Linked DNA regions of Canis lupus familiaris. The protein of the gene in region 2 binds, or shares a complex with, the protein of the main gene of each other region. Links are inferred from orthologs where the notes say so. Each region holds a gene or a part of one and is shown on either strand. Other genes may lie near its edges.

Region 1 (4,604 bases), on a different chromosome or scaffold from region 2:
CCTCCTTTCTTCTCCTGATCTCCAAGGTCAGTTTCTCTCCCTTCCCTCCACCCCCACTTTCAACAACAGTGACCAACATTCCTATTGCTTGTATCAAATACCAGGTCCAGTTCTCAGCACATTACATACTTGATTTTTACCACAACCCTACGAGGTGGTCAGTTAGCATTATAGAAAGGGGAACGCGCCCCTCTGTTGAGGTCCGGAGGGGCAGTCCTCTGTCCAGCATGTGGGGGACAGGAACCCGCCTTCCCAAACACTACTCTCTGACCTGGGAAATTTCAGTTCATGGTTCCGCAGCCCAAGGCCTCTCTCCCACTGAACGAGCTTCTAAGTTAGACTTCCGCTGTGTGAACTTACAGTTTGCAGCATCAACCCAAGGGAATTCTGACACTTTTGATAAGAATTGAGGCATCTCTCAAGTGTTACCCAGAAATGTGGGTGGGATGACCAGGTGGCTCAGTGGTTGAGCGTCTGCCTTCCGCCCAGGTCCTGATCCTGGGGTCCTGGGATCGAGTCCCCCATCAGGCTCCCTGCAGGGAGCCTGCTTCTCCCTCAGCCTCTCTCTGGGTCTCATGAATAAATAAAATCTCAAAAAAAAAAAAAAAAAAAAAAAGAACAATAGTAAAACAAACGCAGCGCACTATAAAAGCCCGCGTCGGAGAAGCTGATCTCTCTTTTCTCCTTCCTGAGGGGGAGCCACACCCGGAAGCCTCAGCCTCGGGCAGTCGCAGTCTCCAACGCCTGCGGGGCAATGTCTCGCCGTCCCACCGTGTCCCTCCACGCGGCCTCCCGTGGGCATGAGTGGCAACTAAAGCGGAACCCCTTCTCTCTCTCCAAGTTGTCTCCCTCTCTCCGGGCCCACAGAGGAGGCTGCCTCACTTCTCCTCTCCTGAGGGAGTGGAAGTTCTTCCCGAATGTCCTCACGGAGCAGCTCTCTCAGCCCCGGTCCCCTCTGTGACAGCCCTTCGCTCACTCCCTGCACGAACCCCACGTCGGAAGACGGCGTTGACATCCCTATTCTCCCTCGGGAAAAACTCCCCAGGTACTCACAGATCTAGCCAGCCCCCGAGCCCAAGGCCGGCGCAGGAGCAGGAGACCAGCCTGGCCCAAACCTCGACTCGAGCCCCAGACCCTCGCTGCCGCCGCCGCCACCGCCATCTTGGCTCACAACCCCTCAGAGCTCCGCCCCTCTCCTCGGCTAGACTGGGGGCTGCCCCTTCAGGAGCCTGACTCAAATGCTAGCACCGCCCTGCCAAGAAACCACCAGCGACCCACCCTGCAGTCTCCAGGGCACGGGTACGGGAGGAACAAACAATCTAGCTTGCCAAAATTACTCTCATCACCTCATCTTAGTTGTTTCTGTAACAGGCAAAGGAGAGGACAACCTGACCAGAGCCTTAGGGCTTTAGGGCGCGGGGGCTTCGGGTAGGACGAGTCCATGCCAAGGCCCGCCCTCTCTTCGCTACTCTCCAATGGGCTTGCGAGGCGGGAGTGGGAGGGGCCAGATTGTTAGTAAACGCGGAGCCACGTGCGGGAACGGGTCCTGGCGCCCCGGACCTGCGCGTGCGCACTGGGCACGCAGGCTGGACGCCCGCGCGCGCTCCCGTGCGGAAGCGAGGTTCCGCAGCGGCACGTGGGGTCTGGGGCGATGGAGGGGGCGCTGCCGGCGGACGCCAAGACCTGCGCGGAGTCTGGAACAGAGTCCGGCCCTCGGGGCCCGGGCTGCAGCCTCCGGCACTTTGCTTGTGAGCAGAACCTGCTGTCCCGGCCGGATGGCTCTGCCTCTTTCCTGCAAGGTAAGGACTTACCCTAGGCAAATACTGCCTGTGCCACGTTCGCCACGTTGTATTTGTTTCGGAAGGTTACAGGTTACCGTGCAGAGGAGTGCCACTAGCTGGTAAGTGTCCCTCCTGCACGGGTGGTGCAGTTCTTGCCCGGGAGGATACTCCCGGATATGCCGGAGTAACGTATCCTGCGCTCCCGGCTAGAAGGGAGACGGTATCGCCACCGTGGTAAATACTCCGAGGAGAGAGGCGCTCAGCAGAGTAAATATCTCCCTTGATTAAATTCGTCTCCCGCCTCCCCCGCGGACACCCCGGGTCCATGCACGCCAGGCTGCGGCAAACCTGCCCTTGCGCGTAAATAGACCCGCAAATCAACACTACCGGCTTCATTACTCTCTGGACTGCGGGCATGTCTTTTTGTCCAGGTAAATACTTTTCAGAGTATTTGAGAGTGATTGTGCGGTATATATCCCTTTGACAGCAATACACATCTCTCCATACGTGTAAATATCCCTAGGTTTGGGGCAGGCTTTCCCTATTGGGTAAAATATCTCCTTCCCGTGACCAAATGCATCTCAGCTCCCTGCCCCGGGTGAATATTCCTCTGAAGATAGCCTAAGAATCACCCCCATAAATGCTTCAGCCTCCTCACTAGGGGCATTACCTTCTACCCAGGTACAAAACCTGTTTTCATTCATTCCTTCATTGAACACGTGTATTCGCATTAAGCACTGTCCTGGGTCCTGGGAATACGTGGATAAAATACATTTTATTTTATTTTATATTAATTTTTACTTATTTATGATAGTCACACAGAGAGAGAGAGAGAGAGGCAGAGACACAGGCAGAGGGAGAAGCAGGCTCCATGCACTGGGAGCCAGACGTGGGATTCGATCCCGGGTCTCCAGGATCGCGCCCTGGGCCAAAGGCAGGTGCCAAACCACTGCGCCACCCAGGGATCCCAATAAAATACATTTTAAAGGGATGCCTGGGTGGCTCCACGGTTTGGCTCCTGCCTCCGGCTCCCTGCATGGAGCCTGCTTCTCTGTCTGCCTCTCTCTCTCTCTCTCTGTCTCTCTCTCTGTCTTTCATGAATAAATAAATAAATCTTAAAAAAAATTTTTTTTTAAATCCCTGACTTAACAGTTTATGTTCTAGTCGAGGAGACAGACAAAAGATAAGTAAAATATGTAGGAAGGGGATCCCTGGGTGGTTCGGTGGTTTGGCGCCTGCCTTTGGCCCAGGGTGCAATCTTGGAGTCCCGGGATCGAGTCCCGCGTCAGGCTCTCACATGGAGCCTGCTTCTCCCTCTGCCTGTGTCTCTGCCTCTCTCTCTCTCTCTCTCTCTCTGTCTATCATGAATAAATAAATAAATAAATAAATCTTTAAAAAAAAAATATGTAGGAGGGCAGCCTGGGTGGCTCAGCGATTTAGCGCCGCCTTCAGCCCAGGGCGTGATCCTCAAGACCAAGGATCAGGTCCCTCATCGGGCTCCCTGCATGGAGCCTGCTTCTCCCTCTGCCTGTGTCTCTGTCTCTCTCTCTCTCTCTCTCTGTGTCTCTCATGAATAAATAAATAAAATCTTTAAAAAAAAATATGTCGGAAGATGCCTATGGAGAAAAATTATAGTAGGGAAAGGAAATAGGGTGTGCCAGAGAGGGTTGCGATCTTAACCGGATAGTCAGGAAAGGCCTTGATGAGATGGTAACATTTGAATAAAGACCTAAAGGTAAGGGAGCAAACCTTGAAGATAAGCAGGAGGAAAAGCATACCTAGGATGAAGAACTGCAGGGGCAGAGGCCCTGAGGCAAGGATTTGTCTGGTGTGTTTGAGGAATAGTCTGTAGACTGTGTGGCCAGAGCAGTGAGGAGGCTGGGGAGAGCTAAGGAGGATTGCTTGTCATGTGATGCATAATGAATGAGCTGGGGGCCACTGCTTCCAAGTTTTGCTCAGAGGGTTGACATGATCTGGATATATTTTAACAGAATCTCTCTGCTGCAGTGTTGACTGTATAGATATGAGAAAGAAGGGGAGATGCGGTGGCTCAGACCAGAGTGGAAGCAGTGGAGGTGGTGAGATTCTGGGTGTATGTATGTTGAAAGTAAAACACAAAACTTGCAGATGGTTCAGTGTTGGAGTGTGAGAAGGAGAGGGATAACACCAAGATTTTTTTTCCAAATCAGCTGTACTGGGAGATAAGGAGTTCAATTTGGAACATTAAGTTTGCAGTGCCTGGTGGACATCACAGTGACTATATGGACAGGGCAATAGGATATAGAAGTCTGCATTTGGGAGGAGAGACCCAGGGGCGCCTGGGTGGCTCAGTCAGTTAAGCATCTGCCTTCAGCTCAGGTCATGATCTCAGGGTCTAGGATCCCACCCAGCATCAGGCTCCCTGCTCAGTGGGGAGCCTGCTTCTCCCTCTCCCTCTGCCTGCTGCTCCCCCCTTGTGCGCGCTCTCTCTCTCTCTCTCTGTGTCAAATAAGTAAATAAAATCTTAAAAAGAGAGAGACTCAACCTAAATATATAATTTGGAATTCTCTGGCTATAGATGGTGTTTCACACTATTGATTGGATGAAATAAAGAGAACAAGTGTAGGTGGAAAGAGAAGAGGTCACAGACTAAATCCAGGGTTGTCTAACCTGTGAGGAGCTAGGAAAAGACCAGAGAAAAGCAGCCAATAAGGTGGGAGGAAAACCCAGAGAGGACACTGACCTCAGAGGGGCTCAGAGAAGTGTTTGAGATGTAAGGGCCCACCAGCTGCATCCGTCCTCCAGACCTGTCGGTGGACAGTCCGGACCTATGTCATCTGTGAT
Region 2 (3,805 bases):
TCTCGGGTTTGTGGGATCCGTGCTCATCGAGGAGTCTGAGTCTGTCTCTCTCTCCCTCTGCCCCAACCCCCACCCCCCCCGCCACGTGCATGCTCTCTTGCTAAAATAAGTGAATCTTTAAAAGAAGTATGCAGTCATTAAAACAGCAAGAGCCTCAATGTAACTTCATACAAGAAAGCAGTGACATTTCATTTAAGCTCAAGTGGCAAACCAATCTTTCCCAGTAATGACATCCATTTTATTGACTGGACATTTGGCTAGAGCCAAGGCCATCAGGTTTTGCTCCTAGTACAGCCTCTTAGCCCTGCCCCATCACAAAGCTGCAGAGCCCCTGGGAGCAAGCAGAGACAGCAGAGCCGCAGAGCCCATGGTCCTAGGAGCTCTTCTGCCACAACAATCTCTGTGAGAACAGAAGCTGTCACCTGTTACAATGCTACTGACCCACGACCATGTGAACCACCCAGTTTGTGGGATGCCAGCCCATAATGCTTAACTTCCAGGGCTCTTTAGGGCCAAACTCCAGAGAGCACTGGGGATTCAGAAAAGGGTTTCAAGTCTCAGTCAGCATCCAGGAATAGCAAGAGCCCAACTTACTTTTCCGTATTTCAGACTCCTTGTGTGCAGAGAGACCGCGCCATCAGAGAACACCGCCTGTACCTCGGCCTGGCCAGACTAATAAAGGAACAATACTCTCATGGCTCCTGCCTTCCTTGGGCCCTTGGCCTCACCTCTCCATCCTTTTCTCCCATCCCCAACAGCCCCACTTGCAGCCTTAGACAGACCCAGAGGACACCACTGCGACCTAACCTCTCCCCCTTGGTTCTCTTACGTATCTTGACATAATACCTCTTCTACTCCCTGGATAAAAGCGCTAACATGGTTAAGAAAAGTTGAGTCTAACTTAAAGCACAGGCCACCATGAGGAACAACCCCAAAGAAATGACCAAGGCAACAGGTCTGAACAAGGGCTAAAGAGCCCGGCTGGGTGAAGGAGATGGAGAAAGGCTGCAGCAGAGCCCATGACACTTGATCTAGGAGCCAGATCCCCACCAGGACTATCGGTCTCCAGTCGGAGACATACGCCAGAAGCCCCATCTCCCAGCTTCACACAGAACGAGATGCTGTAAGGCAGATGCAGGATACACTGATGAGGTCCCCTTCCTGCAAGAAACCTCTCATTGCCAGCTCGTCTTCTGCAGATCTTCTCCTCTGAAACACAGAGAGATGACATGACTTAAGTCAGATCCTGCAGAACAATCTCTCTCCTCTTCTTTTTCAATTCCTCTTGAGAGCTTTGGGGCCAGCCATAGTACTCAGACACTATAGTAGGTAAACAGTGTCATTCAAGGAAAACCAGAGCGATCACCATTACTTTCCATTTTACAGGCCTTCCCACAGCTCCTCCACTCTTTCCTCCCCGCCCCCCCTTCTCTGGACAGTATTCCCACTCCTTTCATGCTACTGAAAACCCTCCCAATCCTGCCCAGCCTCCGTTCTCACACTCACCTCCTGTGGCAGCCCTCCATGCTCCAGCAGGACCAGACTAGCTCTGGCTTGACTCTATCTTTACTCACACATTTCCCATTAGCTCAGATTCCCTGTGAAATTCCATTCATTCTTCAGGGATCAATTCTAAGGCCCCTATTTCATACAAGCATCTCCTAGTGAAATCACTCACTCCTTTTGTACAGACACTTGTTTATTCTTTGACTGCCAGGTATTTAGATGTTATCTCGCTTCCCCTGCTAATCTGTGCACTTTGAGGAACTGAGCTGAGCCTCCTTTATCTTGCGTTCTCCAGAGAACCTAGCACAGTGAGCCCCTCTGAACATACATGCTGGACTGAAGAGAAACCACAGCATTTTACAAAAGACCACCCCTTAGGTACTGCAGTTGTCTGGAATAACCAAATGCCACTCAATTTATGAAAAGCTAATCTAAACACAACTTTTCAAGGAACACCTTCACCATGCAAAGCTGATAACACCCAGAAAAGGAAAATGAGCCCCAAGCATCTGAGAGCCTCTCTTCTCTCTTTTGGGCTCACTCCCCAAGGCTGTTCCAGATCCTACCACATAGCAACTGCTGCTTATGTTGGAAGGCCTGGGCCAAGTGAAAAGCCTACATGTACCTCCAGGCAGCAAATCTCACAGGAAATAAACACAAGTAAAAGAGGCAACCTCGGGATCCCTGGGTGACTCAGCGGTTTAGCGCCTACCTTCGGCCCACGGCATGATCCTGGAGTCCCAGGATCGAGTCCCACATCAGGCTCCCTGCATGGAGCCTGCTTCTCCCTCTGCCTGTATCTCTGCCTCTCTCTCTCTCTCTCTCTGTGTGTGTGTGTCCTCTCATGAATAAATAAATAAACTCTTAAATTAAAAAAAAAAAAAGAGGCAACCTCAGCATAAAGCAAGAGTTCCCTAGTGGAGCAACAGACCCCAGAGCTTTTGCTAGCAAACTATGTAAATCCAGCCTGGAGACCCGTACCAGCTCTCCTCCAGGAAGGTTCATGGATGACAGGAGCAAGACTGAATCCAGCCTAGAATTGGTCTCCACCTTCCACCTCTTCTGTTGAACCTACAGAGAAATTTCACAATTGGACACAGACTCCAGGGGCAAGAACTCACATTGTTAAGTGACCAATAATCCCCAATACAACACACCAACTGTTTACATCAAAGGGCACATAAGAGGCACCTGGCTGGTTCAGTCAGTTAAGCGTCTGCCTTTAGCTCAGGTCATGATCCCAGAGTCCTGAGATCAAGGAACCCTATGTCTGGCTCTCTGCTCAGCGGGAGTCTGCTTCTCCCTCTCCTTCTGCCCCTACTCCTGCTTGTGCTCAACTTTGGAGCAGTGTGCTCTTTCTCTCTCTTAAATAATAAATAAAACCTTTAAAAAGGGGGAGGCACATAAGAGTCAAATGCAATGAGTGCCCCATTTACTTAACTACAGAGAGTGACTATCCCACTCAATCACCAGCTTGCTTTTACTTTGTAAAAACCAATCTGATACCAACTTTACCTCTGTGATTCTCCCCACCACAATGTCTCCTACTTCACCATTATATCTGAAAGATAAAACAGGTCATCCATCAGTGAAGAGACCTTATTACAAGACTAAGCACCACTGGAGATTTCAGTTCAACAGCATGAGGGCTTGGATTAGGCACTAGTATGAAGTATGGTAAATTCACATAACTGTGCTTTTCTGACTTACTTCCAGGAACTCGTAACTTCAAACATTCCTACATGTAGGAATAGTCTCCATTAACTATTTTGGACAAACCATTTATTCCAAGTAGTTCGTTAAGCCTGAAACCCCTATTTTGTTAATTACATAACACCAGTACGCGTGGAATATTTCCTAGTGGGCTTTGGAACACAGATGGCTTCTGTATCAGCAAAGGAGACTGAGACAGGACCCCACTCAAACCAGTCCACTCAGGTCTCCACCAGCCACAGGGTTGTCGACTCCCATCCCTGTGCTAGTTCCTTATCCCAATTCTAATGATGAGGTGTTCCATGCTGTGAACCTCTTCTCTGTCGGCCCACGCTCACCTTTTGGTGAGCTCATCCAAAGTAATGACTTTAAATACCACTGAGGACTATGCCATTCTCCTGAATTGCAGTCTAGTCAACTGCTGGCTACCTAGCATCTCTATTTACCTGACTAATAAGCATTTCTGAATGTCACCAATCTAAAGCAAAGCTTTCCAGCAGCCCCTGCCCAGCCAGTGAAGCCTCAATAAACGGCAACACCATTCCTCAAGTTGCTCAAGCCAAAAATCTTGGGAGTCTTTGGAGGG

The links.
Region 1: EXOSC2 (region 2) and EXOSC5 share a complex: the UniProt entries of both Homo sapiens proteins name them as parts of the RNA exosome core complex. The link is inferred for Canis lupus familiaris from reciprocal best matches to the Homo sapiens genes EXOSC2 and EXOSC5.

Annotation. Positions count from the first base shown.
Region 1 is NC_049222.1:113,382,952-113,387,555, forward strand, and holds the start of EXOSC5 (exosome complex component RRP46), read left to right. Parts: upstream 1-1,560; 5' UTR 1,561-1,651; coding exon 1,652-1,799; intron 1,800-4,604. Other genes in the region: BCKDHA (2-oxoisovalerate dehydrogenase subunit alpha, mitochondrial), read right to left, coding at 1,054-1,161. UniProt on the Homo sapiens protein: Non-catalytic component of the RNA exosome complex which has 3'->5' exoribonuclease activity and participates in a multitude of cellular RNA processing and degradation events.
Region 2 is NC_049230.1:53,360,700-53,364,504, forward strand, and holds part of EXOSC2 (exosome complex component RRP4), read right to left. Parts: intron 3,068-3,805; coding exon 3,022-3,067; intron 2,578-3,021; coding exon 2,488-2,577; intron 1,210-2,487; coding exon 1,144-1,209; intron 664-1,143; coding exon 595-663; intron 1-594. UniProt on the Homo sapiens protein: Non-catalytic component of the RNA exosome complex which has 3'->5' exoribonuclease activity and participates in a multitude of cellular RNA processing and degradation events.